Linked DNA regions of Drosophila melanogaster. The protein of the gene in region 1 interacts with the protein of each later gene in a pairwise test. Each region holds a gene or a part of one and is shown in the gene's direction. Other genes may lie near its edges. The genes, in order: stc, Sec23, C901 and CG2604.

Region 1 (9,422 bases):
TCGGTGAGCAGTTCCACCGGATCAATACGTCCTGTGAGGGATCTGATTATGAGTGCCACTGGAGGAGCCGCCAGCACTAACATCTCACTGACCACCGTGACCAATCTGAGTCTGAACTCGGTCCAGGCAACGGCCGTCGGAATGATGCCCAAGATGACCGGTGGACTGATCACCACAGCCGTCGGCAGCAACAGTGGAGCAATCGGTGGTATCGGTGGATACAATGCCACATCCGCCGAGGAGATCAGCTACAAGTGCCGGATTTGCGAGAAGGTATTCGGATGCTCTGAAACTCTGCAGGTGAGATTTTATTATTGTTATTAAATTATTATTACGATGGTGTTCTGTTTACAAGTATATATCATTTATGACAACCAAAGCGTTTAGTTATCAGTTATTAGCTTTAGAAAAGATAATTCATCCTAAATATATTCCAAACTCTAACCCAAGGATTCAATTTATTCTTAAAATCCCTCAAAAACGAGTAAACACAAAACACCCACGAAACAAATTTTTATATTTATAGTGTAGACAGAATTTTAATTTTTTTTATTTCATTAGACCTTCAACTTTTAAAAAATGAAATACAAATATTCAAAAAATATATGCAATTCCCAATTAGAATTTAAGAATGAAATGATTTAGATTTGCCAGATTATATTTTATTTCAGTTTGCTGCTGTTTAGTTATAAAAAAAGCGAAACGAAATGAACGATTGTATGAAATTTTCTTATAAATTAAATAGCACAATCAAACTTATACGTAAAGTCACTTAAAGAGTTTGTACTTACACACAAGCATTTGGCAAATGCACGCGTATTTTTTTTTTTAATTATAAGTAACAAAAAAATTAATGATTTAGATCTCATCAACGGTTACGTATACATTTATCACAAAGAAATATGTGTTTATGCGGAGTACTAAATGATTGAGAATTATTATTGCAAAGCCATTAAATAACTTTAGGAATTTAACTCCTTTCAAAACATCTAAGCCAAGAACAGCATTAACCTTTCACATGGCCATACATCACATAAGATATCGTTTGGCCGGTCCTCAAAGTCCACATCCACACGAGATCCTCCCAAAACGGGTTTCTTCACCAACAGAGATACCATATGGATTTGGGCGGGGCCTAAAAAACAGAGAAACAGTAGTCTAATTGGAAGGCGGAGCTCCGAAGAAAAGAGTGGAGATTCAAGTGGAGTGGGGAAGAGAGAGGCAGCGAAGAATTGAGTGCCTTATGCAAATCTCGCAAGCAATCCGAGTTCAAAATGGAGTCGGCCGAAAACAGAAACAGAAGCGGGCAAAAAAGAGAGAACTGGTTTTACGCATGGGTGCAGCTACAAGATACGTTAGAAAGGGCCAGACGCCGAGCGAGAGGTAATCACAAAATGGCCACTTTGGGAAAGAACACCAATTTCAGTAGCTAACTGAAGCAAGCCACATTTGAAGTTGCAACAAAATTATTACAAACAATGGGGAACATTCGAATGTGTAACCATGGTATTTTTTGCATTTCTGGCTTATTTTGTATAAGTATAAATGTGTCCAAAGCTCAGTTTTCAGTAACTTTATATTCGAAATCTTCCAATCCTCACTAGAACTTATAGAATAAGGTATTAATATTAGGACCTAATTAAAATGTTGCTAAACATACTCATCTTGAAAGCCTCCCTTCCAAAAACTAACTAACTAACGAACAGTTTGTAGAAAATCGCTGTTTTATGAATTTCACAACAGATTTTCACTACCTCAGGTTTTTTATTAAAATTTTAAATCTCTTACTATTGCTACAATATTACTATTGCTAAGCTAATGTATCTTATTTATTTATCTTATTTGTCTATTATGTTCTTATTTCAGGCTCATGAAAAGACGCACAAATCGCCGCGTTACGAGTGTGCGGATTGTGGAAAGGGTTTCTCCCAGCTGCGAAATTACAAATATCACCTGTCCGTTCACCGAGGAACCAAGGAGTTTGCCGCCGAGTGTCCCGAATGTGGCAAGACATTCAACGATAAGGGATATTTGAGCAGTCACCTAAAGATTCACCGGAACCGGAAGGAGTACGAGTGTCCTTACTGTCCCAAATCGTTCAATCAGCGTGTGGCCTTCAATATGCATGTCCGGATTCATACCGGCGTGAAACCCCACAAATGCAACGAGTGCGGAAAGAGATTTTCGCGTAAAATGCTGCTCAAACAGCACATGAGGACGCACAGTGGTGAGAAACCGTATCAGTGCTCCGTGTGCGGCAAGTCCTTTGCCGATCGCAGCAACATGACCCTGCACCATCGCCTCCACTCGGGAATCAAGCCCTTCAGCTGCCCCCTGTGCCCCAAAGCCTTCACCAAAAAGCATCACCTAAAGACGCATCTGAATTACCATACAGGCTGCAAGCCGTATGTCTGCCCACATCCCAACTGCAATCAGGCATTCACCCAGTCGAGCAATATGCGAACCCACGCTAAGAAGTGTCAGTACCGTCCGTTGGATGGACTCACGGTCACATCATCCGCACTTCCAGTACCGGGAAAACAACAAACAGGTCCACCGCCCACTTTGGCCATGGCCATGGCTCAAACATTTCAAATGCCGCCACCTCCTGGAGTTCTAACACCTGGATCTGGTCCATCCCAACCGCCGAGTCAGCAAACCCTTCTCAGCAATCTCAGGACATTCTAAATGGGTGGAATCGTTGTGCCCGGCCAGTTTCAACCAAATTTGTGGCAATTACAAAGTGCAGTACTTCCACTGTTGTTATTCAATTTACATTTATTTTCAAGCAATAATTTTGCTAGAAATTAAATTAGGAATAGACATTAATTATTATTAAAATAGGCATATATATTGGCCAGTCAATAAAGTATAATATCAAATACAAAAGGATTCCAGGATTCTAGAAATAATATTTTGGATTGGAGATATGATTGGGAGTCCAACTAGGTAATTTCGCTTATAATCAGATAACGCAGCCTTATTTAATTCAAATCTTCTAGTGACAAAAATTAAAAGATGTATGTTTTTTTAGTAAACAAATGAACGAACCGTTGCAGTACATTTAACATATTTAAAAGTGCGCTCTCACTCAGCCAGATGGCGCCACCTGATAGTTTATTACCACTGTAGGTGTGTTGAGTAACTAAACGAAATCTTGCTGTTAAATTGTATTCACAGCTGTCCTAAAACCGAGTTGGCAGCCCTTTTCCCCTCAAAAATCGAAAGTCTGTTAATATATCGATAAGTCAAGGCAATTGTCAGTGGTACCGTTTCGTCTGGTATGACCGTGTTGTGAAATTTTGTTAGAAATTTACAATATAAGCGAGCATAAAAAACGCAGGAAAAGCGCAAAAAAATCAGTAAAACGTGCCTGCGGACCCAGGCTGCGGTGCGTCCAGTTGGCCGTAGAAAGCCTTTACCAAATTCGATCGAACTGAGAATTCGATTCGGTTAACTTCTGCATTGGGCTCAATTTCACCATTGCACACGTGTCTGGAGCTTTTCCTGGGTTCGGTCACCTCCTCCTCGGATTGCGGACGATCCCGTGGTAGCGCTGGGAAATGCCCAGCAGAGGACGGCGGGCAGTTCGAGATTGTTCCGGCAAAGAAGCAGGCGCAACTGCAACAGACGCTGGTCACCAACGACAGCACCGGACTCTCAATGGCTGAGTACTGGCAGCAGTTGACCAACGGCGCCGGAGAAGCGGGACCCGGCAATGAGTCATCCGCCATGGCAGACTGCAACGGAGGTCACGAATCGGCGGCAGTGGGTGGTTCCTGCAACAGGCACAGCAACAACAATTACGTGAACTTCAATCAGTTCATTATGCAGCACAATCTGGGTGGAGGAGCGCCCTCGAATGCCACCAGCACTATGCAACATCCGGTGGGCAGCAGCTACACTAACTTCTCCCTGGGCGGCGGTGGAGGAGCCTTTGGACTGAACCCACCAGTGGCATCCGCGAGTACCAGCCACTTTGCAAATGTGAGTCATCAATCTCCGAATGTATGTTTCGATATATTAGAACTTAGGTTTAGTCCTAATGAATCAACTAATAAATCACAAAACAGTTTTACTCGCAGGCCATGATCCCAACCTATCAAAATGGCGATGGCATCGCTAGAGTCACCGTCACCAGCAGCTATGGGTCGGTCAATCCGAGCAACAGCAATTTTTCGAGTTTTTACACACCTTTTGGCAATAATCCGTTTGACTTCAGCGCTTCCAAGCTGCAGGCCTCGGCTCCGGAATTCGTGCCCAATTTCGCCAAGCTGAGTCTAGAAGAGACACCGGCAGCCGCCACTACGAACGGAAACAGCACTGCCAGCCTAGAGACTGCCATAAATGAGACGAGACCTAGGACTCTGCGAGCCCAAGAACCAGCTGAACGAGGAGCTAACAACCAATGCTCGAACCATAATTACGAACGGGAGCGTGAGCGGGAACGTGACCGGGACCGGGACAGGGAAAGAGACCGGGACAGAGACAGGGACAGAGACCGGGACAGAGACCGGGACAGGGACAGGGACTCTAGACCCGGAAATACGCGACAACAACGCCGCTCCGACTATCGGGACGATCGGGAGGACCGGTACGAAAGAAGCGATCGTAGGAGGCCGCAGAAGCAGCAACGCTACGACAATCATCGCAGCAACAAACGCAGGGATGACTGGAATCGCAACAGGGACCGCATCAACGGCTTTCCCAGGGCCGTTGACGATTTGGACACGAGCAATGAGAGCGCACACCCATCGCCCGAAAAGCAGTCGCAACTGCAGCAAATCTCCCCAAGGCGAGGTCCACCGCTACCACCGGCGGATAACGAAAAACTATCGCAGCGAGAGAAACTGGTTCGCGACATCGAACAGCGCCGATTGGAGTGCCTTGTATGCGTGGAGGCGATCAAGTCGCACCAGCCAACCTGGTCGTGCAGGAACTGCTATCACATGCTGCACCTTAAGTGCACCATCACCTGGGCGAGTAGCTCCAAGTCCGAGGTGGGCTGGCGTTGTCCAGCTTGCCAGAATGTGCTGCAGGATTTGCCACGCGACTATCTCTGCTTTTGCGGCAAACTGAAAAACCCGCCGGTATCACGGACCGAATTGGCCCACAGCTGTGGCGAGGTCTGCTGCCGAATTGAGGGTTGTAGCCATGCCTGCACTCTGCTCTGTCACCCAGGCCCTTGTCCGCCGTGCCAGGCCAACGTGGTGCGCAGCTGTGGATGTGGACGCAGCACAAAAACGATGCAGTGCGCCATGAAGGAAGAGGTGCTCTGCGGCGAGATCTGCGACAAGCTGCTTAACTGTGGCGAGCATCGCTGCCAGGCGGAGTGCCACTCGGGCAAGTGCGCGGCGTGTTCCGAGCAAGTGGTGCAGCAGTGCCACTGCGGCAAGCAGGAGCGCAAGGTGCCATGCACGCGAGAATCGCAGGACAAACGCACCTATTCGTGCAAGGACAGCTGCGGTCAACCGCTTCCCTGCGGCCACCACAAGTGCAAGGACTCCTGCCACGCGGGAAGTTGTAGGTAAGAATAACTGATTCAACTCATTTATAGTATTGGTTTCATTTAAACCAATAACCCCAAAAAACGGCTCAAACTCGAAAATTGTGTTAGGTTTCTAAAATATGTGCATTAACATTAACACAAAACATCAGAATTGAATTTGGTATGAACCAATTTTATGCTAAATTATTCAGCGTTTGCAATCGTGTCTTTGTGCAGAGTACTAAGAAACTCATACAATTAAACTGATAATATGATTCTTTTCAGACCCTGCAAGCTGAGTCCCGAGCAGATAACAAGTTGTCCTTGTGGCAAAATGCCTGTACCGGCTGGCCAGCGTTCAAGCTGCCTGGACCCGATTCCCACATGCGAGGGCATCTGCTCTAGGACATTACGTTGTGGAAAGCCAGCGCATCCGCATCAATGCGGAAGCAAATGTCACTTGGGCCAGTGCCCTCCATGTCCCAAGCAGACCGGTGTAAAGTGTCGTTGCGGCCACATGGACCAAATGATAAAGTGTCGGCAGCTATGTAACAGAGCGGACGACGCCCGCTGCAAGCGACGTTGCACCAAGAAGCGCAGCTGTGGAAAGCACAAGTGCAACGTTGAGTGCTGCATCGATATAGACCACGACTGTCCACTGCCATGTAATCGAACCCTCAGTTGTGGCAAACACAAGTGCGATCAGCCGTGTCACCGCGGCAATTGTCCGCCATGCTACCGCAGCAGTTTCGAAGAGCTCTATTGCGAGTGTGGTGCCGAAGTGATCTATCCACCAGTGCCGTGTGGCACCAAGAAGCCAATCTGCAAGCTTCCTTGCTCGCGCATTCATCCATGCGATCATCCGCCGCAGCACAACTGCCATTCGGGCCCCACCTGTCCGCCCTGCATGATTTTCACGACGAAATTGTGTCACGGCAACCACGAGCTGCGCAAGACCATTCCCTGCTCGCAGCCCAACTTTAGCTGTGGCATGGCCTGTGGCAAGCCGTTGCCGTGTGGCGGGCACAAGTGTATAAAGCCGTGTCACGAGGGCCCCTGTCAGTCTGCCGGCGAGATATGCCGGCAGAGCTGCACCAAGCCACGACCGACCTGTGGTCATAAGTGTGCAGCTGCCTGTCACGAGGGAGCCTGTCCGGAAACGCCTTGCAAGGAGCTGGTGGAGGTGCAGTGCGAGTGCGGCAACCGAAAGCAGAACCGCAGCTGCCAGGAACTAGCCAGGGAGCACAGTCGTATAGCCACCATCCAGCTGGCCTCGTCCATGGCAGAGATGTCACGCGGCAACTACATGGAGCTCAGCGAAATCTTGGCTCCAGCCAAGAAATCTAATAAAACGTGAGTGGTGGTGTCTATTCAGCCGAATTTAAGTTTTCACTAGTATTAATATACGTAACATTTTGTCTTTAGTTTGGATTGCAACGACGAATGTCGTCTACTGGAGAGGAATCGTCGTCTTGCCGCGGCCCTGTCTTCTGGAAATTCCGATACAAAGCAAAAGTGTCTAACCAAGTACTCGGAGTTTGTTCGTGGCTTCGCAAAGAAGAACCCAGCGCTGACCAAGAGCGTTTACGAGACGTTGACCGACCTGGTAAAGTTGGCCAAGGAAAGCAAGCAACGGTCGAGGAGCCACTCTTTCCCCACCATGAACCGCGAAAAGAGGCAGCTGGTGCACGAGTTGTGCGAGGTATTTGGGATTGAATCGGTTTCCTATGACAAGGAGCCAAATCGCAATGTTGTTGCCACGGCCCATAAGGATAGGGTGAGTTCAACTTTGTAAAACACCAACTGAATCGCGTACTTATTTGGCTTAACTATTTGCAGTGCTGGTTCCCCGCCACGAGCATCATGGAAGTGCTGGCTCGTGAGTCCGGACAACGCCGTGTCCCGGTGCCCAGTAACAATGCTTGGGGATTGAAGAAGTAGATCAAATCCGTGTGGTATACAGAGATATTAAATATATTAAATCGTTGGCGCTGGAAAATAATAGTTAAAAATGGATAGATAATGCAAATGGAAGCCTGGATGTGGAAGACTTATTGATTGAACCTAAATGAGGAAAATTTTGTGGATGCGCTGCGAGGACAATACAGAAGGATAATTGCCGTTACCACGTATATTTTGTAAATTATAACAAATGTTAGTTGAACCCTAGAATGCTAAATGTTGAATACTTGAATATGGAGTGAACTGGATAAGCAGGCACAAATGTGAAGAATCATGTTAACCAATCTGTTGTACGATGAATTTATCCAAAAGCGAAACCTTCTGGCCACGTTGCATCTAAATACAAAGGAAAGCGATAGATGAGAAGGATAAATAAATGAGTAAATAGAGCAGAGGGCAATTATTGTGTTTTTTGTTTTAATTAATTTATTTCATGGGAGAAATTATGGATAAAAGGTCTTATAAACTTAATTTCAAATTTATGTCGCGATGGAACACAATGTCTTGTATGTTGCAGCAATTAGCTTTCAACAGTGGTCAGTATTCAGTGCTGTAAGTCGTTGTTATTTAACGGTCGCTTGTTTCAAACTGAAGTAATTTTGGAATTTACTTCGCTTAGAACAGAAATAATTTCAAATTTAAAATATAAATATATAGGACGTCATGCTTCACCATTAGATAATTAAAGTGGCGCGGAAATGAAAACAACCCAAGTGGAGGTGCTCAAGGGATATTCCACCTGCTGATCCATCCTGGTAGTCGAGGAAACTAGCAAACATCCCCCGGACTGCCCACAAGCCGAACTCGTTGCCATCTCGTTTCGGGCTATGGGCACAGGCCTCTAATTTGTTGCCATTGCCGTTGCCATTTTCACGAAAAACAATAAGCGGCGCCTGGGGAATAATGCCAAAATAAAGATGAAATGTTACGACAAGTCAGAGCGGCGAGGGATGAGAGCCCCGGATGAGGCCAACTCACGCACTCCGCCGGAACGCAATGGATGCGGGGCTTGGGCCGGATCCAGAGGCAGAACGCAAGTCGTATATGAATATAGACCTGACATAATGAGCAGCCTATAAGCGAAATGGCTGCCAGCAACCCACCAAATGCCATCCACCCACCAGCCACCACCCCCAATCATCTCAAGATGTGTGCGTAATTTGAATTTAGTCTGCCAGGGAGTTTATTAACAAATACAAGGCAATCCCCCACGTCAAGGAGGGCCGAGAATGAACGAAACAGAAAGAAAGAACGCTTTCAAGGAGAAACTGCCTCTTTAGATGGGCTGGGGAAAATAATTCCAGGGAGATTAAATTGTGGTTGGCATCTGTGGGCAGGGGGATTATTGCTCCAAAAACCGGCGAGATTGCAGGGGAAAGAGTTCATTTTGGGTCAATTGTAACCGCTGCATGTGCGTGGGAGTGTAGGTTGGATTTTATGTGTATAAAGTGTGTGCGTAATTTTAATTATGTGTTATGGCAAGAGAAAAAATTAAAAAACCAAAAAAAAAAACATATTGTTGAATAAAACTGGAATGGCAAATGTGCGGGCATATGCTATTATCGAACGATACTTGAGCCATTCAACATTCCAACAATTTCAAAATGAATGCAAGTATTTATTTATCATATATAATTTAAAACCAACACCGAATTTTAATTGTTTGAAATTACTTTTTGCGGTTAGATAAGTGTGGATTTAAATGATATTCGTAAGCTAACTTTGATGGTGTGTGAAAATATGGGCTTATGTGCTATTATTTACTGCCAATTTCGAGTGCTTGTATAGCACCAATTAATTAATGAAACCGCTTTAATATGTCACAAATGCGCAAAGTCTATTCAATTAGGTTTTTTAAATCATTTTAAATTTATAGCTACTTGTTTGGGCTTAAGTATGCATTGGATTAGTAGTTTACACGGAAATATGCTGTTAAAAATTGATATATTTCAATATACAGACATCAATTTAT
Region 2 (8,406 bases), on another chromosome or scaffold:
GACACGAATAATTCAAATTGCGCTACTGGAACGTAGATCAATGGTGCTTCTGGTTCGAAGTAGAGTGGTTACACTGCCAGTTGATGTGGCAGGTTGTTTGAAGGTTCCACTGCCTGTTTATGTGGATGAGTCGGATGCTGGACGAAATCCGTTTTCGCTCCGCCCTCACAGTTGTTGTCATTGCGGTTCTTGTTGCTCAGGAAGTTTGACTAGGATTGCGGGATGGGGTGGCACTGTGGGAGGTTGGGTGGTTCGGTGGGTGGCTTCGCTTTCCACATGCCTTGACACAGCGCACACAGTGGTGCCCCTTACGGGTTCATTTTGTTGTTGTTTTGTGGTGGGCATGTGCTTAGCAGATCTGGTCGTCAGGTTTTAACTCTTAACTTGTTTGAAGGCCACGACAACGACTCTTGGCAACATAACCTCACTTTGTTGACAATAAATATACACACTTAGAGGTAACGTAACGCAAGATATGGATGCGGTTTCGAGGGAACAGGGTTTCTCTACTCACGTTGGTGTTTGTCGGCCAATTGCACGAGCGGATTGGGCAGATCCCGGCGGCGGTAGAAGCACATGACCTTCGCTTCCACATTGCCGGTTTGGTTTTTGTTCAGCTCCTCGATGCGTCGTATTAAGTAGGGACTGTTCGGCGTTGTCTCAACGTAAACATAGTCTGAAAAAAAAACAGTTTTTGAGGTGGCTGATGCAAAAGGGTCAGAAAAGGGCATGGAAGGGTGGGGGGCTGCAACTCCATTAATACGTCACAGGTAAGCGCACACATACACCTATACACGCATCCACCTAAGTGCGACCACCACTACCAGCTAAAGCGCAATTAAATACATATGGGTCTATCCATCCATATAACTTTATACCTACAACAACTGCAGCGGAACCTGTCGTTGACTATTATAAAAAATAAAAGAAATTCCGTTTATCTGTATGTACATACATACATAGATACAAACGTCGTGTGCACTTCTGCTACATTTTGGGATGCAGATACACAGATAGATGGGTAGATAGATGAAGAGAGATGAAAAAGAAAGTGTGGAGGCAGCGAGAAAGCATTGCCGAAGGTGTGTAACTGTGTGCGTGGCCATTAAAAACGGCTAACAAAAAACGCCGATGGAGACAAAAAGTTCTCGGCGATAAAGAGCAGATAATTCGACAAGTATATATGCCATTAATATTTATTTTGATTCCGTTAATTGAAAGCTTGCGTATCCGACCGAGCTTATTTGCATTTCGAAAGAGCACACACACCCACACACTTGCGAAAATCAGGTGAAGACAACACAATAACGTCACCGCTCGAGCGCGAGCGAGATGGCTAACAGAAAGTGCGTCAGGCAGGGTGAGGAGTGGGAGGCGTGAGATGGGGGGAGATGCTCAAAAGCTCATTAGCATATGAAAACACAAAAAGGCGGGTGGGCGGTGAGCCCAAAAGTGAGATACACTTTCGCACATAGTCAAACAAACACACACGCTGGAGAGATCACAATTCGGCAAAACCAAATCCAAATGCAAATGCAATTCAGTTCCCCAGCCCTAGAATACACACACACGCATACACTTAGGGCATAAGTTAATGCTTATCGGTTGGAACACGTCGAAAACACTTGCTGCAGCTGCGACACAAGAGCAGCAGGGGGCTCCTTCAAAGAAGTTAAAAAAAATAGAAAAGGTCTCTCCTTTTCGACGGATTGTTCTTGAGATTGATAATACACGCACACACACACACATACACGTGCGTCGGGTCTCCCACTAAAGGGTTTTCGGCAATTAAAATGCACTTTCGTTATTGTTGGAAAGCCTCCTCAGACACAACACACACGCATACGCACACATTGGACACACACACACATATGCAGAAGCGAACACGCACACCGTGAAACGGCGGCGCCGATAACGAAAGATGATAGAAAAGCGAGTACGCGAAAATTTTTCTCACCTCCGACTCGATACATATTTGTGGCCATTTTCACTACGCTACCGCACCAAAACTTTCACATGCAAAACACTCGGCACACGCTTAGCACTGTTTTTCAATGGTCCTGTTCCAAACTAGCGCACATTTATTAGCAGAAAACTCGAGTTGTTATGATTGCATTTTTCACATAAGAAGACGCGTTTTTTTCGTCGCCATCTTAGAAACAACTCAACTCTAAAAAATACACGCACACACACACAATGCCGAGTAAACAGCTGCACCAGGGATGCACTCCACGGTGCGATAGTTTGGCCATCGATAGCAATCGATACATGGGGTGTTGGGTAAAAACTTAATGTTAAAATTTAGTTGGGGCGATAAGAAAAACGATAAGGGGCTTTTCTAGGAATACGATTTATATTTATTTATATTATATATACTTCTTGAATAACAATATATATCATTAAGAAAATTAACTGAAAAAATTATGGGCGAACCTTGTTTTATTTATCATTTTCAAAACATATTTATTTTCACCCTTTTTTTCTCATATTAAAACATTCATTCAATCGCATGGGGCGCATGCGATAGTATCGCTTGAAAACTGTCTTCCCTAACATGCAACGTTTGCACTTAAAATTCTGTAATAGTTCGTAGTCTAGGTTTCTACGTTTTGTACGTTTGTATAAATTGTTTCCAGAGTGAGTGCTTTGATTTGAAGAGCCTCTTAAAGACTCATCTCGCGAATTTGTTTACTTTCGCGTGAGTATTTTGGCCGTCGCCAGCACGAAAGGTGTCACGACTCGCTGTCAATCCGTGACGTGGCCTGACCGACCGATTTTTCCAATTGGCAGAGGTCTAACAGAGGTTTTTCCGATTTAAGTATTACATTTAAGTGTTCCGGCGATGACCACCTACGAGGAGTTCATCCAGCAGAACGAGGACCGCGACGGAGTGCGGCTGACGTGGAATGTGTGGCCCTCAAGTCGCATCGAAGCCAGTCGGCTGGTGGTGCCCCTAGCTTGTCTTTACCAGCCTTTGAAGGAGCGCCCCGACCTACCGCCTATTCAATATGAGCCGGTCTTGTGCACTCGCAGCAACTGCAGGGCCATCCTGAATCCACTGTGCCAGGTGGACTACCGTGCTAAGTTGTGGGTGTGCAACTTCTGTTTTCAGCGCAATCCGGTGAGCTCAATGGTGATCTTTAGACTCTCTGCGGCAGTTTATGACAGTCATTATTCCAGTTTCCCCCTCAATATGCTGCCATTTCCGAGCAGCACCAACCAGCGGAGCTGATTCCGGGATTCAGCACTATTGAGTATACTATTACACGGGCCCCCACCATGCCGCCCGTCTTCATTTTCCTGGTTGACACCTGCATGGACGAGGAGGAGCTGGACGCCCTCAAGGATTCGTTGCAAATGTCGCTAAGTCTGCTGCCAACCAACGCTCTCGTGGGTCTGATAACCTTCGGAAAAATGATACAGGTGCACGAGCTGGGCGCGGAAGGCTGCTCTAAGAGCTATGTGTTTCGTGGTACCAAGGACCTGACTGCCAAGCAGGTGCAGGATATGCTCGGAATTGGGCGTGGAGCGGCTCCGGGGCCGCAGCAACAGCAGCACCTGCCCGGCCAGCCGGCTGGAGCGGCGGCCCCTGTGCCGCCCGCCCATCGCTTCTTGCAACCGATCGGCCAGTGCGACGCGGCGCTGGGCGATCTGCTTAGCGAGTTGCAACGCGATCCTTGGCCGGTGCCGCAGGGCAAGCGTTACCTGCGCTCCACTGGTGCCGCCCTATCTATTGCGGTGGGCCTGTTGGAGTGCACTTATCCCAATACGGGCGGTCGCATTATGACCTTCGTGGGTGGCCCTTGCTCCCAGGGCCCCGGCCAGGTGGTCGACGACGAGCTGAAGCACCCGATTCGTTCGCATCACGACATCCACAAGGACAACGTGCGGTTTATGAAGAAGGCTATCAAACACTATGATGCTTTGGCATTGCGGGCAGCCACCAACGGGCATAGTGTCGACATATACTCGTGTGCCCTGGACCAAACCGGACTGCTGGAGATGAAGCAGCTATGCAACTCCACTGGCGGCCACATGGTCATGGGCGATTCGTTCAACTCATCGCTCTTCAAGCAGACATTCCAACGCGTCTTCGCACGTGATGGTCGCAACGACTTGAAGATGGCCTTCAATGCCACGCTGGAGGTGAAGTGCTCGCGCGAGTTGAAGATCTCCGGTGGCATCGGCTCGTGTGTGTCGCTGAATGTGAAGAGCCCGTCGGTGTCGGATGTGGAGATCGGCATGGGCAACACGGTGCAGTGGAAGCTGTGCACATTGAATCCCAGCTCCACCGTAGCCTACTTCTTTGAGGTGGTCAACCAGCATGCAGCCCCCATTCCGCAGGGCGGGCGTGGCTGCATACAGTTCATTACGCAGTACCAGCACCCAAGTGGACAGCGGCGAATCCGAGTTACCACACTGGCCAGAAAGTATGTGTTGGCATAAATCAGCCCAGAGTTTACTTACGTGGTTCAATCTGTTTGTTTTTCAGTTGGGCCGATGCCACCTCGAACGTGCACCACATCAGCGCTGGCTTCGATCAGGAGGCCGCCGCAGTTCTGATGGCCCGTATGGTCGTCTATCGTGCGGAGACTGACGAAGGACCCGACATTCTGCGCTGGGTCGATCGTCAGTTGATTCGTCTGGTAAGTTTTCAATGTGCAAAATTACTCGTGCCCAATTAATTAGTATTGTAAATGCTTTCCTTTTACAGTGCCAAAAGTTCGGCGAGTACTCAAAGGACGATCCCAACAGCTTCAGGCTGTCGCAAAACTTCAGCCTATTCCCGCAATTCATGTACCACCTGCGCCGCTCGCAGTTCCTGCAGGTCTTCAACAACTCGCCCGACGAGACCACATTCTATCGACACATGCTAATGCGCGAGGACCTCACCCAATCGCTGATCATGATCCAGCCTATTCTCTACAGCTACTCGTTCAACGGCCCTCCAGAACCGGTCCTCCTCGATACGGCTTCCATCCAGGCGGATCGCATCCTCCTGATGGACACGTTCTTTCAGATTCTGATTTACCACGGCGAGACCATCGCCCAGTGGAGAGCCCTCAAATACCAGGACATGCCAGAGTACGAGAACTTCAAGCAGCTGCTGCAAGCACCGGTGGACGACGCGCAAGAGATTCTTCAGACGCGCTTCCCCATGCCTCGCTACATCGATACGGAGCACGGCGGATCCCAGGCCCGCTTCCTGCTGTCCAAGGTCAATCCCTCGCAGACGCACAACAACATGTACGCCTACGGGCAGGTGAGTCTCGCAGCCAGCGCCATCAACTGGCCACATTTGATTGATCTTTGCAGCGCTCCATTTGGCGTCATCGAAAATTTAATCTCAATCGAAATCTCAATCTCGTTTTATGTTGGTTTTGTTTCTCTCATTGTATAATCCGTACCCGTATCCGTAACCGCTCCTTTGTCAATCGCAGGCGCCCATCGGTCAAGTCACGGTAGTACATATTTGTTTAATTTTCAACTTTTAAACTGGTGGAAAGGTGGATATTTGAAATTTAAGGGGCGGGTAAAAAATCTTTGGAAATTGGATATGTCCTTTGCTCTTGATAGCTATAAGTCCAAAATAAGTGTTTTGGATTTTGCAATAAATCTAAGATGGCCAACCCCACACGGCTTAATCTAAGCAAAGATTTTGTCTGTTCCTATTTTTTCATATTGTTTTTAATAATTTCAAACATGATTTATATATAAGTGGCTTTTGGTGTTGGACCCTTCTAGGTGCTTGTATCCCTTTTTCATTCATCCTCCCCTCCCCACTTGGCACGATCCCACCCACCCATCGCATGACTAATTTTCCGGACATTATCTCGACAGGATGGCGGGGCTCCAGTGCTCACGGATGACGTTTCGCTGCAGCTGTTCATGGAGCACCTCAAGAAGCTGGCTGTGTCCACCACCACATAAATCGACTCTGGCTCTAGTTTCAGGCGCTTGCTTCCCTGGCGAAGTCGAAGAAGGCGAACGACACCTGGAATCAATGGTCCAGGCAATGAAATTACGAATATACAACCACTTATTCCAATTGATCGTCTTATAACGCAATAAACTATTCAAATTATGTTCAACAATAAGTGTGTTAATCCGCGATGCTTTTATTCGTAAGCAGCTGAATTAGAATTTACGTTGAGCGGAATGAGTTTGTAATTATAAAAACAAGGCATTAACAAAATGAAATGAGCATCTCTTTCATTCTTCATAACAACTATTAATACAAGTAAATCCGACGGGTTCCTGAAACCTACAAGATTTGTAAAAATTATTTTTTTGTAATATAAGACAGCAAAAGATTTATTTATATTTTTATCATAAATATTTGATCAAATTTCCGGACGCATTTAACTTTTAGATACCAAGCAATTGGTTATATTTTTCTGTATTTCTCTAGCACCCGTGATCAAACATATGCATTTTTTGTTTAACTTGAATGAAATATCTTCGATAAGCTTTGGGCAAATTACTCAGGTTTAAAAAACTTTGCGACACTTTCATTTTCATTCATTAAATTGAAACTTCTAAATGGTTGGAAAACACAACTGGTATAATAAGAATAGCAACCACTGCTTTCAAATCATTAGAGTTTTCAGTAACCCGCCGGAATGCCTCTCGACTAACTGCATCCTAAACTATTTGGTACACACTGACTAAGAAGGTCGCTCTTTCCTCGTGATTGCCGCATCCAGCTAGCCTAGTTGAGAAACCGTATGGACATCTTCTGATCCACGTCGGTGCGGTCCAGAGCTTTGCAGAAGTCCTCGAACGAGATCTTGCCCTGGCAGCACAGGTCCGCCTCCAGGATCGTCCTCTCCGCAATGCTGACCAACTGGTCCTGGCTAATGTTCGCCCCGACCATCATGTGCAGGATGGAGAGCAGCTCGTCTCTGCTGATCACACCATCGTCATCCAGATCGTACATCTTGAAGGCGAACTTCAGCTTCTCCTCCCGGCTGTTGAGCTTACTTTGCTTGTTATCCCTCAGCGGCCGGAAGTGGGCCAGGACGTTCATGAACTGCCGGAAGTTCACCCGATCGTCGTTGCTCTCAGCGAAAAAGGAATGAACTATCCGCTCGCACAGCGGATTAATGGCCAGTTCCGGGATACGCATCAGATCCTCCCGGGACAAGGTTCCGCAATCATTGCGATCCAAGGAGGTGAAGCGCGAGTAAAGTCGCTCGATTTGGTTGGGGGTGACTGGAAAATAAAATTGATAAAAATTAACCAATCGATAATTAGTTTTGAATTAAATACAATTAAGATAGTACTAAAACATGTACATTCAACTGTAAATACCTATATGATATTAACTTTAATAAGCGATTTAACAGTCCGTCAAGTTAAATCATTTAATAAAGTTGTTTTTGTTGAACGACACTGTTCAGATAAATTACTTTTGCCATGGAAAACTCGAACGATACCTATTTACGAACAGTGTGGGCATGAGTCTAAGCCCGTTCGGAATTAGTTGCTATAAAATCTGGCTGATAAGAGCGAACGCCTTATCATCTTAGCTGATACTAGCTGGTCGAACATTGGATACAAGTTCCAATGCGGTGGCAATTTCAATTGTGCGCTTATCGCGCCCGGAATATTGAAATTACACGCTCTCGGACACTAGATAATTGCCAGCCCCAATATCGGTGATAGGCGTCGACTTTTGCCCCCACCCACCCCCGTCTCATATATACGTATATAACTATCGATGACGTCATGTGGGAAGTGCAGGTGCATTTGAAATGCAAATTGCTTTTGCTGCAAACCATCTGTCCATATACCGCTTATATAAGGCGGGCACAGATCGCTCAGACTCAGTTCTGCATAATTTGAACGGAGTTTTTTAGAACACGTACATATAGTTCGTAGATTTGGAATTTTTATAGAAATGACGAATCGAAACTAAGCGAATCCATTTTGGCAATCCATGGTCTTGGACCCGAAATGCTTTTAGCACTCCAGTGCGATGTTGTTGTTTGCATTGCTCGTGGCCCAATTAATTTATATCCAAGTGCGTATTTCGATTTAGTACGGCGCATTGAAAGTCTCCGGTTGAAAAAGCCCAAGGTTATCACACATCCCGACCAGAAATCGTACTCACAGCCAGTCTCCTCCTGGATTTGCGCGATCTCCTCGTTCCGCAGGAAAAGCGACGACTTATTGCCCATGGTGACGGTGTGTTGTGCGCCGATCGGTTTGTTTAAACATTCAACAATCGCAGACGAGCATTGAATGGCATTCGATTTGGATTGGACCACAAGTCCGATTTGTGTACAGGCTGAATGCAGGCGGAGTGACGGGAAAATGCCGAAAATCGGGTGCAAAAAAATACTGAACAGCCAGCGATGGTTGCACTAGAGACGGACTTTGTCAAGTGGTGGATGGTTTCCC
Region 3 (8,340 bases), on another chromosome or scaffold:
TATAACATTCCACATTTGGACAATTATTTTTATTGCTATTGAGAAAATACTGATTATTTTTTAGCAAAAAATAAAATTTCCCAAAAAACGGATATTTACATGCGGGGTTTTCTCCATAACTTGGTCAAACAATATATCACCGCTAAAATAAAGACTGTTTTGTACTGCCAATAAGCATAGCTAACTATCCCTATCACTATTTTTATGACTCCAAAAAATCAAAATTTTGACAAATTTTCGCATTTTCGATAAGGGGCATCATCAAAATTTGCAAAAAATGGCAAAAAATTAGAATTTCCAACTTTGAATACAGGTCGATAGGGAATTTTGTAACGAATTCAACGAGGTATGACATTCCACTTTTGGACAACTATTTTTATTGCTATTGAGAAAATACTGATTATTTTTTAGCAAAAAATAAAATAATATTATGGCTAAAAATCGGATATTAAAAAACGGTGTTTTCTTCATAACTTGGCTTATTTACTTTAAAATAAAACCAGTTTTGAGCTGCTAATAACAAAGCTAAATATCAATGTTACTGGCAATCATAAAAATTTGCGAGAATTTTATAAATATTTTAAACGCAACTCACATTTTCACAAGTGCAAGATGTTTAGTTTAGTCGAGCAATAGTCTAAAGATTAACATACCTTAACATTTAAAAACTAATTATGAATTGTTTCATAAAAAGGCCTCGAATGAAATTCAACTGAATGTGGTAAATTGTTGATGGGACAGAATGACCGACTGACTGAATGAACTTAATTCGTTTTTACTTAGCTCCATTAACGCGCTCAATCAAATATTTTCTTTGATGTGTGACTTTAAAATGATTATAATGTTTCAATTATTTGTAATTGAATTACTGTGCTTTTGCATTTTTTGATTTGTGTGCACTTTAAAAGGTTAATCAGTTAATAAATTAAAAATTCTGAGCTTTGTGGTTCATTTTACATTTTATCCCTTCATTATCCGTTTATCGCTGACAACTCGTCACATTTTTTTTTTTTTATAAATCAGTGGGCTTTTAGAGCGAATTTTTAGCCAAGACCGCCTTCCTGGAACTGGCTAATAATAAGTGGCTATTCCTTCGCTCACCGCAAGCCAAGCATAACAATTGCTTTTTATTTTATGATTGCCGTGGCTGTAGGACCTCGTCCTGCTGCTGATTTTGCCTCCGTTTCCTGGCCAGACAAATACCCCCGGCCCAAAAATTGCTTGTCTTTAATTATGTTTTGGTCCTCGAGTTTTGTGCATTGCCTTGTTTATTTTTATTACTCGGCGCGTCGTCGGCGCCTGTTTATTTACATTAATTTTTTCAATTTACCTTTATTACCCGGGCGCAGAGGGTCCTTCGGTTCGCTTTATGCCGGGACTTAATTAAGCTTTCAGCTGTTTCCCCTGCGCCTCGCACAATCTCCAATGGCGACTCCCATTTTAATACAAATTCTCTTTATTTATGACTCGGCATTGGGGGGGGGGAGTCTTGTTTTCTGCGGTCTGAGTGCGACGTCAATTTCCATTTCCGCTGCATCCTGGCTAATCTGCCTTCATCATTGGAGCAGCAGCAGCAGCAGCAGCAGCAGCCAGCGTATATTAGCTATATATGGCTATATCCACGAGTTTCCCCTCTTTTTTATTTTTGCCCTGGGGTTAAGTGGCCTGGCTTTCCGGTGGGTGGGAAAGTGGTAGGTAAAATCAAAAATGCCCCAAAATGTCGGGCACTTTTGAAATTTCCTACGCAATTTCCGTTGTCAACACCTTGACAGCTGTCAGACGCACACACAGACACTCTCGACACTCTTGCACACTTACACACGCACACCCGCACACCACACACTCAAAGGCACTTGTCAGTTCGATTTTTCGCCTGCCATGTTTGTTTTTGCTCTTTTTTGCCTAACGGAAACGGAAATTGTTAGGCTTAATAGACAATTCGCATTTCCTCTTCCTTTGAAGTCCTGTATTCAGCAGCCCGCTTCAGTCCGCACAATTGCACAAATCAGTGCTCCTGCTGCTGTTTCTGTCTACTTTGCGTCCGTTGATGGAATCTGAATCTGAATTACAATAATTGTAATATTTAACATCTCAATGGCCAGCCAGATCCTTTGCTCCTCTAATGAGGCGTCACCGAAGGACATGCATAATCAATGAAGGACCAAACGGACGAATGAATCGCTCAATGAGCGACTGAATGAGTGAATACCCAAATAAGCGAGCGTTTCGAAGGCGTAGGATGCAGATTATGAGGATGGATTAATTAATTAAGCATTATTTAGCCAGTGAAACCGATTTCATCTTTAAATCTATTTGAATGTTTTGCAAATTATTAAGATATTCGCATCTCTTCTTTGTATAATTATTAATAATTTGCGCTATTCTTAAACTTTCTTTATAGATACTGCGTGGAATTCGAGGTAATAAAATCATCTAAAGCCTGCAACAAGTTGCCGCCATATAACCTGATGACAGAAGGTAAGAAAAATCAAAGTAACTAAAGTAGTATTTAATATTTATGCAATCAAATGTGTAAAATAATATTTTGACTGTCTTGTGTTTTATTTTCCAGGCGATCGCATCACGGTGCGCTGTGACCTTGAGGCATTGATCCAAGACTCAGCCGGCAGCTCCACCACCGCCAGGACACCACAAGGACCCACTACGCCGTCCACGACCACAGTTTCATCCGCAGCCTCTGCCTTTGGCCAGCGTACGGATGACCTTGAGGAGGAGCGACTGCAGCGTGAGACCAGCAGCGAAGAGGAGGCGACCAATCAGGATGGCGAGGCGGAGGAGGAGGATGAGGAGCCGGAGCAGGATGAGCAGGATGACCTGCAGAATGCCCTGGACTCGGACAGCAACGAGAGTACCGACTACCGTCACCAGCGGCAGTCGCAGATGTCGCAAATGTCGCACAGCCGCCGGACAGCGGGAAAGCGCAGCGCTGTGCCGGCCACGCCCTCGCCCACGCTGCCGCCCACCTACCATTGCCGGGGGGAGGGGCTGGCCGGACGCACGACACGTTGGAGCGCGCTGCCGGCGCCGTCGTGCCGCGGCAAATGGCTCCGTCTGACCGTCGGTCCGCCCAAGAAGTGCGGCCACGCCCAGTTCATCTTCGTCTAAGGCGACGTGGTCATGCCGCCCACTCAAGTTGCGGTGTCCATTTTTTTTTTTCTCCGTGTAGGTTATGGTGTACGGTCTCCCCCACTCATCATATCATATCATATCACCCGCGCCCCTGCCACGCCCCCTCACTTCCGGCCCAAAATCAATAAAGTACCCCATCGTATGTAAGCGTTTAAACATTAAGCCAGTGGATTAAGAAGATCATAGCATATGTATGTATATGTATGTGTGATGAGGTCAGGATTTTTTTTTTTGTTTGTCTCGCTAGAGAAGAGAACCGGAAATAAAGGATACACTGCCAGTGAAATATAGGGTATATATGGAGGAATATCACATATTTCTGAAGTTTTCGAGGGGTTCTACAATTTCGGACTACTAACTTCTGCTCTCTTAGATACTTTATAAATTTAAAAAAAAACTTCCAAAGACTTATGATCTCCTCCACACACATGATATTCATCATATAACCATATTGATATCACGGCTGCTGTGGACTTCCTTCGGTTAGCATTTCTCTAATTAGTTAAGGAAACACTCGCGTGTAAGCATTTGGGCTCAGGACCCAATCAACAACTCAATATAAATGCTGGGGGTCTGTGAAGACGCTCGGATCTCGGATCGGATAATACTAGAAACTAGAGACTAAGTCATCAAATACCGCATAACATCTACAGTGAAAATGGAGTCGAGCTGCGTAGTGAAAGAACCTATATATACATGTATGTGGATGTGCACGAGTGTATCTGTCTAATCGTTAGTTCCCCCCGACTCGCAAGCATATAGCACACACACGTTCTACACATAACATAACATATATGATACATTTGTCAAAAGCAAATGATTAAGGCCCACAATTTTTGGTTACCCAACTGGCAGACAACCCTCTGGAGTCGGAATTAACGTTTGGATCTTAGTATTAATCTGGATTTTAGGTACACACGAATGTCGAAATAATTATTATAATTATAATTAAACCAATAATGAGATCATTCAATAAAGAACGAGTATAATTTTAAAGTAAACCAATGTTGTCTTTGAACATTTACCAATCTAGAGTCTTGAGCCATCCTGGTTTATCTACAACTTGTTTGGTGACTCGATCGTCAGTGCTGCACAGTGGGTCGAAAGTAATTGTAAAATAAAATAAAATAAATAGTTTTTGGGCATATAAAAAGAAACATTTAATAGTTAATGCTATTAAAGCATTTAATAGATTGGATATGTAGGCATATAGATCTTTATAGTATAATTACATTATTAATTTAAAATTGTTTCAGATTTTATTTATTTCCTGATTTTGTGGTACAAGTTTTCCTAGTTTTCTTCTTTTTCAAAGTGTAGAGTGGTCCATAAAAACCATATCTGGACCCACTGTGCTTGAGTACTCAGCTGTTTTGGGTTTACCGGTTGACCCAATTACCACCAATGGTCGGTTAGGTGCCTTTCAGCGCTCTTTCTCTGGCTTTGCCTCTCGGCTTCGAGGCTTGAGTTCACGGTGAAGGCCAGAAGAATGACAGAGAGAAGAGCGAAGACTTGACTTGACTTGACTTAAAGAAAGAGTCGAGAATCGGCCAGAGGCAGCTGGTCCGACGAGGCGGCTACTTGATTAGTCCCAAAGCGATCGCAGACCGAGACGGACCGACGACAAGAAGCTGCAGTCTTAACCGTTAAAAGTAATTCTTTTGCATTTGCATTCTTCAAGTTTCATTTCTTCTCGCCAGTGGTGATTCATCAAGAAATCGGTTGTTTGGTTGTCGGGTTCTCTGTCGGCGGTGTGATTCCCGTTCTTTTTGGTTCGGCCGCGAAGAAAGTTGTCTTCAAACATGTTAATTGCGACGAGGGGCCGTGGGCCGTCGATTTCTTTTAACGGTCTAAGTTTGGCCAAACGAAAACACTTTTCGTTTAAGCCGATAATCGAAAACATCTAGACATTTGACAAGGCCTACACTTAGGTTTTCTTTATTCAGTCATAAAGTTCAGCACATTAAGTTGGTTTAAAGTCTAAGAAACTTTTTTTGTGAAGAGGTCGTTAGATCCGACTTAGATGATCTTGCTTTTTATGTACACATAAAAGCCATTATTTGCAGGGAATTTTAACGGAGTAGTCAAACGTATAATATTAATAATATTATATTTATTAATAGAAACAACAAACACTTATTATATTATTATTAAATCGGACTTAGATATGTTGTCAGACAAAAAGGCGGCTCTCCTGCTGGTGACCGCGATTACCGCCCTCAAATTGGAGGAAATGAATGCCTATAGACGCAACTTCGATGCGCGGCAAAGTAGTAATTCGAATATTCCACTCTGGAAACAGCGAGTAAGTTGGAGAACCTAACGTTCATAATTTTCTCGAACCAATTCCGAAAATATTCGATTACCTAAGGCCTGTGAGAAATCACAGAAACAGCGGCAAAATGCACACTATGTTTGCGATGAAAAAGGTGACTTCAAGTGCCTTCCTGGGTGGCAGGGTGATCTTTGCCAGGTGCCTATGTGTCGAAGGGGCTGTGACCCGATGAATGGTATGTTTACTCCTTCAGATGATTCCCTATCTTGTGACCCCTGAACTCACATTCACACAGGTTATTGCCAGCGACCCGGTGAATGCAGGTGTCGCATCGGATACAGCGGCGAACTCTGCGACAAGTGCATTCCGCTTCCAGGTTGCCAACATGGCGGATGCACCAAGCCATTCGAGTGCATCTGTAAGCCTGGCTGGGCGGGACTCTTCTGCACGGAACGTAAGTAGTTACCGGAAAAGGATAAGCCTGATTACAATCTTACATTTAAAGAACGGAGCATTTAGAGAAGGAGTTAAAACATAGGGAACTAATATCGTTTTGGGGGTTGTACTTGTTATATGACATTTCCAATCAAATCAAACATTCCTAACTCTGTCCAATCCGATTACTCAATTGCCTGTTTCCTCCAATCCGCGCGCAACCAAAGCAAGTTGCCGTACCGGATGCCACAGCACCCGTGGATATTGCGAAGCGCCTGGGGAGTGCCGCTGCCGGATTGGTTATGCTGGACGCACCTGCTCCGAATGCGCCACGATGCCGGGCTGTCAGCACGGCACCTGCAACAAGCCACTGGAATGCCTCTGCCTACCCGGATATACCGGACTACTTTGCCAGACGCGTAAGTCCTGCAACCACCAAAGGAATCCGCCATTCACCCTACTAATCCCAAACTCCATTCCGCCATTCCAGCAATCTGTGACCCAGATTGCAGCAAGCAGCACGGATATTGCCGCAAACCTGGCGAGTGCCGGTAAGTAGGAGCAGCATTTCAATAAAGAAAATGCAGAAAATGTGGTTTCGGCAAGCTGGAGTGCCCCTTTTCGGATAAGTCAACTATTTTTATCCTTAATTTAACATTCCCAAGCATTATGGCTCAGTTAGCTAACAGCAAACTAACAGCAAAACGAACCCATATCTGTCATCAATTTTCACGGACATCCCCTTCTTCTCCAGCTGCAAGGTGGGCTGGACGGGTAGCCAGTGCGACAAGTGCTTCCCGTATCCGGGATGTGCCAATGGGGATTGCGAGGCGCCATGGGAGTGCAACTGCCATCCCGGCTGGGGCGGAATGCTGTGCGACGAGAGTGAGTATATCCGTATATGTGACCATGCCAACGGGAAATTGACCGAGTTGACCCACAGAGCTCACCTACTGCGTGGAGCATCCGGATACGTGCGAAAACGGGGGCAAGTGCACATCGCTGAGTCGCGAGGATGGGAGCTACCAGTGCCAGTGCCGGCAGGGATTTCTGGGCAAGAACTGCGAGATACGCGATGACTTTCTGCTGACCTCAGAGGCGCCACCGCGAATCACACCGCCCACACCCGCTGAGCTCGTACTGGAACTAGATGGCGAACTGGACCAGAACGGGCAGCAGGACATCGGTGCAGGTGTGCCCGATGACAGCGAGCCAGGAGGCGGGCTGGTTGGAGAAAAGTTGCCAGCGGGTAACGAGCCGGAGCGGCGGAAAAATGACACGGTAGCCAACGTGGCAACCGCAGGAACTGGAGCTGGAGCAGGACCCATGAATTCACTACCCGGCAACAGCAACGCCACAAGGACGACATTGGTGGTGGCAACTGAAACTGGCAGCGACAATGCGACTAATGAAGCGTTAAGCGCCGTTACAACGAGGCGTGCCACCCCGATTCCCCTCACATCTGGCGAAAAAACCGTAAAGGGTAATGCAACAAGCGTGTCGGTAGCGACAGGACCTCAGCCACGCCCCCCGCTGCCCATCGTCGCTAGCCAGGAGCAAACAATAGCAAATTTGGCGCCAGCTGGAACAGTAACAGTAACAGCAACAACAGCACCAACGGCTACAACAGCCGCAACATCCGTGACCAGCCACAAGGATAAGCCAAATGTGGCAGACGAGGAGGAGGACGAAGATGACGACGATGATGAGGAGGATGAGGATGGCGAGTACGATGAGGAGGAGGATGAGGACGAGGACGACGAGGAGGATGACAGCGATCAACTCATACCAAATATTATATAGTTAAGAACCTGACAAATGACAAGTAATCCCTCTTATATATATATACACATTGTTCAGTTAAGGGCCCACATATGCAGCATCTCAAAGCAATTTTTTTTTTTTTCTGAATATTTATTATTAACTAATGAATGAAACATCCAATTAAAAAACTCCATCCATTGCGATAGATATACATATATAAATTGTATTTATTTATGATAATTTTAGGGATTAAGCTAAGCAATTTTCGATTTAACAAATGTCAAAAAAAAAAAATGATATTATTAAAGTTTGCTAATCTTAAGTGCTACAAGAAATCGTTGAATCGAAATATGAATAGGGGACCAGAGGATTGGACTCAGAGCCTGTGGGAGTTCAATTCCTGCACTCGGATTGCACTTGGTTCGCTTAAACTTAAGACAAATGGGGGACTACGAGCTCGGGTTTGAATGGGGATCTATATGGCCATCTTAGCGCCACCGAGTTGGGGGTAGTACGATTGGATTGGGTATCGAAAATTGGAATATGGAAACCAGCACATCATAGACATCTAAACATACATATGGACTCTTGCATATGGGCGTTAATAAATATATGTAGTAACTGGTATGGGAGACTTACGAATCGACAAAAAAATATGTAGAAGTATGGGAGAGAGAGAGAATGACTCAATACAATATCGATACGAATAATAATAA
Region 4 (6,536 bases), on another chromosome or scaffold:
TTTTCATTCGATTCAATGACTATTACTCGGCAGTGTGGCCAGATGGTTAAATGCTTCTACCAAATTATCACTAAATAATGCAGGTTGTACCGCAAATTCAAAAGTGGATTTAAAATTCTAAAGTTTAGGCAATACCTAAAGTGTTATTTTGTTATTTTGCTATAATTATTCGAAATTTCCACACCCGTCACTCGTGGAGTGAAGGAGTACAAAAGATTCGTCGAAATATATGTTTCAGGCAGAAGTAAGCGTTTCCCCGACCCTATAGAGTACATATTACTTGCTAAAGATCCATATGTCCGCATGAACGTCGAGATCTAAAACTAACTATAAAAGCTAGTGGGTGGCACAGACCTTGCATCTGATGATTTAAATTATGTTTAATATTATTTTTTTTATTTTCTGAAATATATTTGAGCAAAAATAACTATAAAAACTCTTTACTAATCTCATTTTAACTTATTTTACTAATTTTAATTTTAATCCGTTAAATCCATTGAAAAGCTACAAATATAATTTACCAATTAGGTTTACTTATTGTACTTCAAACGGTTGTCCCCATTTAATCGATTTCCCCAAAAGTAATGACTAAGGCATTAGTGTTTTGAATTTATTACGTAAGCGTGTATGTATTTTAAGATAATAATAAATAATGTTTAAATAACTAGCAATATTGCAGTATTGCACCACCACCAATTCGTGAAAATGGATGAATGCTCGAAGTTTTCCTGGCATTGGAGAGTTCTTTCTTATGGCTCCCAGTGTGCTATTGTCCTCGGGTAAGCTAGATAATGCTGCAGTTTAACCATCCGCTTCGATTGTGGGCTAGATTGCCCAACTTCGGTGGATGGGTTGTAGTTTCTCGAATCGTGTCTTTCGTTTTCTCCACCACCGAGCTTGGGGTGCTGTTTCGTTGTATCCCGCTTGCAGGATCAAACGAGATGCAGGATCATCGTGTCTGATCTAGCAGATGATTCCATGGTAGCAAGCGACCGATGGCGAGTATCAGATACTTTAACTTGCATAACAGCCAAGTTAGCCAACTTATCTGAGCTGTTGGAATTACACAATTTCTAAAGCTCATCGCTTGGATATTGGTTTCTTCCTTTGTCGATGGTTTCTAGTTGTTCTAATTGTCATTTACGCGATAGTCAGAGAACTTCAGAGAGATCCATATAATCCGAATGAATAAACTCGACATAAAATATCGCAAGTCTTGCACCATGGAGCAGTCTTGCAGTAACAAGTCGTTCGAAGAAGTCTCGTTGGTGAACTGCGTCACAGTCAGACGTTGTCCAAATTCGACTGGAAGAACAGGTGGCTCTGCCAGAAGGACTGGTACTGGATATATGACTTTTTCGAAATATTTATATTATTAGCCAGCACGTAAACGGGCAGTCCTTATAATTACTAACGCGATTTCAATACTCTATAAGATTAGGCACAATTTATTTTTAAATTCGAGCTATTGTAGTCAATTTAAGATCCCACGTTAACACAAACTTCTGTGGTCTTAATCGTGACCAATTTTGTTGCTCTAATATTCGAGGATCCTGATATTCTCTTGTTTAAAGGTCAGGATGTTGGGAATATTTTGTTTCTATTCGATATTAAAATGTGTATGCATACCACCAACTGTGCGTGTTGGTAATTTTACCCGATTTTAAAGTTCTTTCTTAATAGATTAAGTACAATTTAAAGTAGGTTACAAGGTTATTTAGCAACTAGAGTTAATGGCATAAAGACGTAACTTTAATATTTATGTATATATTCGCTTATCAAATGGACTCTTAGGCGGTAACAATAAATTACAAATTTGGGAGACTGGTTTGGGGAGCAGCACCACTGACCAAGGGTTTGGCCAGCGTAGTGAATCGCCTGCTGAACTGATCCTTTACCAGCTCTGGAGTGACTGTGGAGGCCGCGTCCAGGTACTGCACCACTGGAATCTGGCCCATTTCGAGCACGGGAACCTGTCGCACGCGAAGTCCCGGTAGGAGTACTTGGGATTGGGCCATAATCAGTGCAAGGAGTCCAACCAGTGGTATAAGATGCAGCCTCATTTTGAGTTGATGCAGCTTGGAGAATGCTGGTGTCCCACTGTTAGCTTCACACTTTATACTTATCCAGGAAATTCCGGAAGTCTCTTACCTTCCCCAAGCATCGGGTGATTGATCTGCAATTGGCTTACCGCATCTGCTCTGCTCGTGTCCGTTCAACCGGTTAGGCAGTATCGTTATTTTGAATAACTGGAATTGGCGTGCGGAATGTTAATGGCCACAGTCTTCAGTTCGAAGCTCACACTTCAAAATGTGATATCAAAATGTTCATTTTGTAATTGTAATTGATGTACATAGCACAAGTTTTGAACGACAAGTATAAAGAAAAAGACAAAGCGAAAATCTCCTTCAATTCGAATCTTAACAGCTCATAAAGTTATGAGGCAGAGTTTCCACCCTCTGACCAAGAAACGAATCGTATTTCATCCTCCCTACATCTTGCAGAGTAAATTAAATAGAATAGGTATAGTGATTCCGACATAGATATTTCGTATTTTGAATGCATCCAATGGCATGGCAGGGGAACGCTTACATAAGCATTCTATCACAAGTGATTAGACTAATTTAGAAAGTTAATCTGTTAATTTCATTAAGCTCACTGATAGCTCTCCCACTGAATGACATTTTTGAGTCATAGTCACAAAAGATCACAAATAAATCGAATTGACCATTCACAGCCAGACTCAAACAAATTTCAGACGGTGAAAACACTCCTTCAATCCTTAGAATCAGTGAAGTCGGGCCATTAGACGCTTGCAGGAATACCCCTAACTCCATTCAGAAGAGCTTCGACTTTGGCCGGTTGGATTTTCCACCTACATACGTACACGATGCATGTGTATTTGAATTAACTGAATAAGAACGCCGATTAGCAGCTCAGTAGGCGGAATCAGTAGACAGCGATACAGGTGAGCGGTCGTTTATCTACTCCATACCATACAGCGTGCTAAGTCGCAGCTGCGATTCCAGTGATATCGCAATATCGCGCAATCTGACATCGAATCTTTGAAGGCGACTTACGGCGAAATGTCTGGCGATCGACTGGATGTGATTATCTTTGGGGCCAGTGGCTTCACCGGCAAGTACACGGTCTTCGAGGCGGTCACGGTGCTGCGCGGCTTGCGATGGGGCATCGCTGGCAGGAACCGCGAGAAGCTGGAGGCGGTGTTGAAGGAGATGGGCGCCAAGGCCAAGAAGGACCTCTCGCAGGTGCCCATCTTCATCGCGGACGTCAACGACCAGGCCTCCCTGCTTGAGATGGCGAAAAAGTGCCGGATTGTGGTGAACACGGCAGGACCCTACCGCTTTCACGGCGAAAACGTCGTGAAGTGCTGCATCGAATCGGGCACGCACCATGTGGATGTTAGCGGCGAGCCCCAGTACATGGAGACCATGCAGCTGAGGTACGATCAGCTGGCCAGGGAAAAGGGCGTGTACGTGGTCAGCGCCTGCGGCTTTGACTCCATACCCGCCGACATGGGCGTCGTCTTTGTGGAAAAAAACTTCGACGGCGTGGTGAACTCCGTGGAGACCTTCCTGGAGACCGGAATCAAAGAAGGCGGCAGTGGCGGAGGCACTGCCGGCCTCAACTACGGAACCTGGGAGAGCGCCGTTTACGGGCTAGCTCACTCTGACGAGCTGCGCGGCATCCGGAAGCAGATCTATCCCCAGAGACTGCCAAGATTCTATCCCTTTCTCAAGCCACGACCGCTGGTCTTCCGCTCTACCGAGGTTGACAAGGTGTGTCTACCTTTTCCCGGCTCCGACCGCTCGGTGGTAATGAGGTCCCAGCGCTTCCTCTACGACCAGGACAAGAAACGTCCGGTCCAGATGCAGGCCTACGTGGGATTTTCGTCTTGGCTGGTCGCCGGCGGTGTCATCTTTTTTGCCACCATCTTCGGTCTGCTGTCAAAGTTCAAGCTGGGACGTACGCTGCTGCTCAATTACCCCGGTCTCTTCTCCGGCGGATTGGCCTCTCGTTCCGGCCCAAGTGAGGAGTCAATGGAGCGCACCTATTTCAAGATGACTTTTAAGGCCAGTGGCTGGCTTAAGAGCGATCGCCTGGCCGAGAGTTCAAACCAATACACGGAGTCCCCGACCAAGACGCTGATGGTCCGCGTATCGGGCATGAATCCCGGATATGGAGCCACCTGCGTGGCTGTGCTCTCAGCGGCACTGACCATTCTTCGTGAGTCGGACAAGATGCCCAGCACAGGCGGAGTGCTGCCTCCAGCTGCCGCCTTCTCTAAGACCGGACTAATTAGCGAGTTGGAGAAGCACGACCACGGCATCAAGTTTGAGATTCTGGCCAACAAGTAATGTCCAGAATCGCACTTCTCCCTCCCAGCGGCTCTCTTTTAATCACCTTACTTGGCTGTTTGTTACTCGCGGTTTGAACTGTAATTATATAAGCACTTATTAAACTAACCCCCACATCCGCTGCTGTTGTTGCCGATTTCAAAGTCCAGGCGAAACGGGTTAGATCTAATTCAGTGAATTTTGCACCTCAGAATAAATTAAGATGCGAAAAACAGATTTTCCTACCTTAAAATGTAAATATTATCTTGGCTAACATCGCCAGGTGCAAGTCGCTATGAACATGACTTTCTGATTTCAAGCGGTTTGATTCGTATATTCGACTAAATTTTAATTAAGATTTTTGTATTTTACAAAGACGTAAGAGGGGATTGGGTTTCAGAAGTTTTTAAAAGGAACCGTAATCGACTTGTTGCTTTCGTTTGCTCTTTCTAAACGGCCTTATATAGCCTTAAAAGTGAGAAACCCTTTGGATTAGTTCTCCAATATATTAATACAATACTTCTTACTACTTACTTCCATCAAGAGAACACAGTTAACTGAAGTGCTATTACTTTATAAGCAGGTTGAATGTCTGGTTTGGAGCATAAATCTGGAGAGGATTCGCAGCGTAGACGGTCACGGGCAGATTCCATACCATCGTCTCCACGGGCATTTCAGACGGTGCTTTTAGCTCGCCGGACTCCGGATTCGGAATGCCAAAGTCAATCAAAGTTGTGGTCACAAACTCGAAATGCAATCGCCATCGCACGTCGACGAGGTCTGTGCGGAATGTGGGTGTTACGTGCAGCGGAATGGGTACCACGACCTGGGTCTGCAGCGTTGCGTAGCACACTTGGTGGGAGGTGGAAATGGTCGAAAGTTTCCCGGTTGGCTCAGGCGCCTCCTTAACCTTTGAGCTAGCCGATGTGGCCGACTTGTGGAGGTTATCTGCCAACACTCCGCTAGCTATGCTGGCCATATCAAAGGAGTTCATCGAGGAGACATCATCGCCCGTCGAGGATTGCGACTGCAGCTGGTGATTTTGCACTGGTTGCGGTCGGATGGAAAGCTCCTGCTGCTGCAGCTTTACCGAAAACTGGACGCAGCGCACCTGGTAAGATGCAGTAGGATTTTAGAAAGCGCATTATGAGTAATGACAAAAAAAATCACCAACCTTTCGGGGGTTAACGCCGGGATCAAAGTCCAGGCTGCCCACAATGTCCTCACCGAGCTTATACGCTGGCTTGAACAAACAAAAGCGGCCAACGAAGCCGCGTTTGTTCGAGATGCGGTAGAACTTCGGCGCCCGCCGAGCGGTTACGTTCTGAAAGACACAGAGCAGAGGACATTGACAAGGTACAGCTGCTTATGGGATCTAGATTTCCTTGCCTTAAGGTGGTGCCACGATATCTCAAGCTCGCTGATCTCGCGCTTTTCCAGGAACGGATTAGTGGGCGCCAGCTCTTCGTTGGTCTCTACGGTTACGGGAAGTTCGTCGGGCCGCGAAATTATGGGAATTGGCAACACCCGGATGGGAACGGCCAGCGTTTGCACCTTGGACTTGACCCGTTGCGTAGCAATGGTGATCTTGTAGAAGTACCGGATGTTGTGGCCTCTGTACGTGGGTGGGCCATCGCGGGGAATGAATTCATTGAAAAAGTCTGCAAGGCGACTTGCTCGTTAGTAAAACCAAAAAGCTAAGAAGTAGGGCAAGCTCATCACTCACACATCTTGGTCTCTCCAGGCTGGAGGCGCAGGTCGCAGAAGAGGATCTTGGGCTTGGTGGCCACAATCACCTCTCCCGGCGCCTGCGTCACCGCATCCAAAGCCGTCCTGCCGATCATCTCCGTGAGCTCCGCGGCTCGGTCGCCCGCGGATGTAGAGTAGCTAGTTTTCCGGTAGCAGTGCAGCTGCGCCGAGGCCCAGGCCAGGTTCTCCTGGCTTCTGGTCGGTTTTGCATGGTGAATCAAGGGAAGAAAAACAGTTAACAACAGCTCGGCTCACCTTGCTTCGTTGGCATTGTGGACAGCCTGCGACGCGGCTGGCTCGTCGGAGAACACCTTGTGGGTGAACTCGATCAGGCACTGGACTCTCTCGCCCGTGGCGTAGATGGCCGAGTCCGCACGCAGCAGTTTCGCCTTAATTTCAATCATTTATTTACTTTTTTATTTGGTCGCG

The links.
Region 2: the proteins of stc (region 1) and Sec23 interact in a two-hybrid assay, tested with the Drosophila melanogaster proteins (one large-scale study listed by BioGRID).
Region 3: the proteins of stc (region 1) and C901 interact in a two-hybrid assay, tested with the Drosophila melanogaster proteins (one large-scale study listed by BioGRID).
Region 4: the proteins of stc (region 1) and CG2604 interact in a two-hybrid assay, tested with the Drosophila melanogaster proteins (one large-scale study listed by BioGRID).

The regions. Positions count from the first base shown.
Region 1 is NT_033779.5:15,110,227-15,119,648, forward strand, and holds stc (shuttle craft), read left to right. Parts: upstream 1-3,253; 5' UTR 3,254-3,663; coding exon 3,664-4,008; intron 4,009-4,073; coding exon 4,074-5,527; intron 5,528-5,773; coding exon 5,774-6,841; intron 6,842-6,913; coding exon 6,914-7,265; intron 7,266-7,327; coding exon 7,328-7,429; 3' UTR 7,430-7,843; downstream 7,844-9,422. Other genes in the region: CG15269 (uncharacterized protein), read left to right, coding at 1-300, 1,867-2,688. UniProt on the Drosophila melanogaster protein: Plays an essential role during the late stages of embryonic neurogenesis.
Region 2 is NT_033777.3:5,646,540-5,654,945, forward strand, and holds Sec23 (secretory 23), read left to right. Parts: upstream 1-2,525; 5' UTR 2,526-2,698; exon of another isoform or gene 2,699-2,819; 5' UTR 2,820-2,842; coding exon 2,843-3,121; intron 3,122-3,180; coding exon 3,181-4,430; intron 4,431-4,492; coding exon 4,493-4,646; intron 4,647-4,714; coding exon 4,715-5,263; intron 5,264-5,441; coding exon 5,442-5,465; intron 5,466-5,841; coding exon 5,842-5,931; 3' UTR 5,932-6,090; downstream 6,091-8,406. Other genes in the region: MTA1-like (metastasis associated 1-like), read right to left, coding at 515-676, 1,958-1,985; elm (ethanol sensitive with low memory), read right to left, coding at 6,713-7,215, 8,117-8,183.
Region 3 is NC_004354.4:10,963,530-10,971,869, reverse strand, and holds C901 (C901), read left to right. Parts: upstream 1-4,735; 5' UTR 4,736-4,802; intron 4,803-5,315; 5' UTR 5,316-5,317; coding exon 5,318-5,455; intron 5,456-5,521; coding exon 5,522-5,660; intron 5,661-5,720; coding exon 5,721-5,879; intron 5,880-6,087; coding exon 6,088-6,279; intron 6,280-6,350; coding exon 6,351-6,411; intron 6,412-6,614; coding exon 6,615-6,745; intron 6,746-6,803; coding exon 6,804-7,663; 3' UTR 7,664-7,838; downstream 7,839-8,340. Other genes in the region: vex (vexed), read left to right, coding at 2,402-2,478, 2,573-3,126.
Region 4 is NT_033777.3:5,219,682-5,226,217, reverse strand, and holds CG2604 (uncharacterized protein), read left to right. Parts: upstream 1-2,852; 5' UTR 2,853-2,968; exon of another isoform or gene 2,969-3,071; 5' UTR 3,072-3,086; coding exon 3,087-4,379; 3' UTR 4,380-4,586; downstream 4,587-6,536. Other genes in the region: CG14664 (uncharacterized protein), read right to left, coding at 1,809-2,063; CG1116 (uncharacterized protein), read right to left, coding at 4,927-5,469, 5,533-5,682, 5,748-6,019, 6,085-6,302, 6,363-6,511.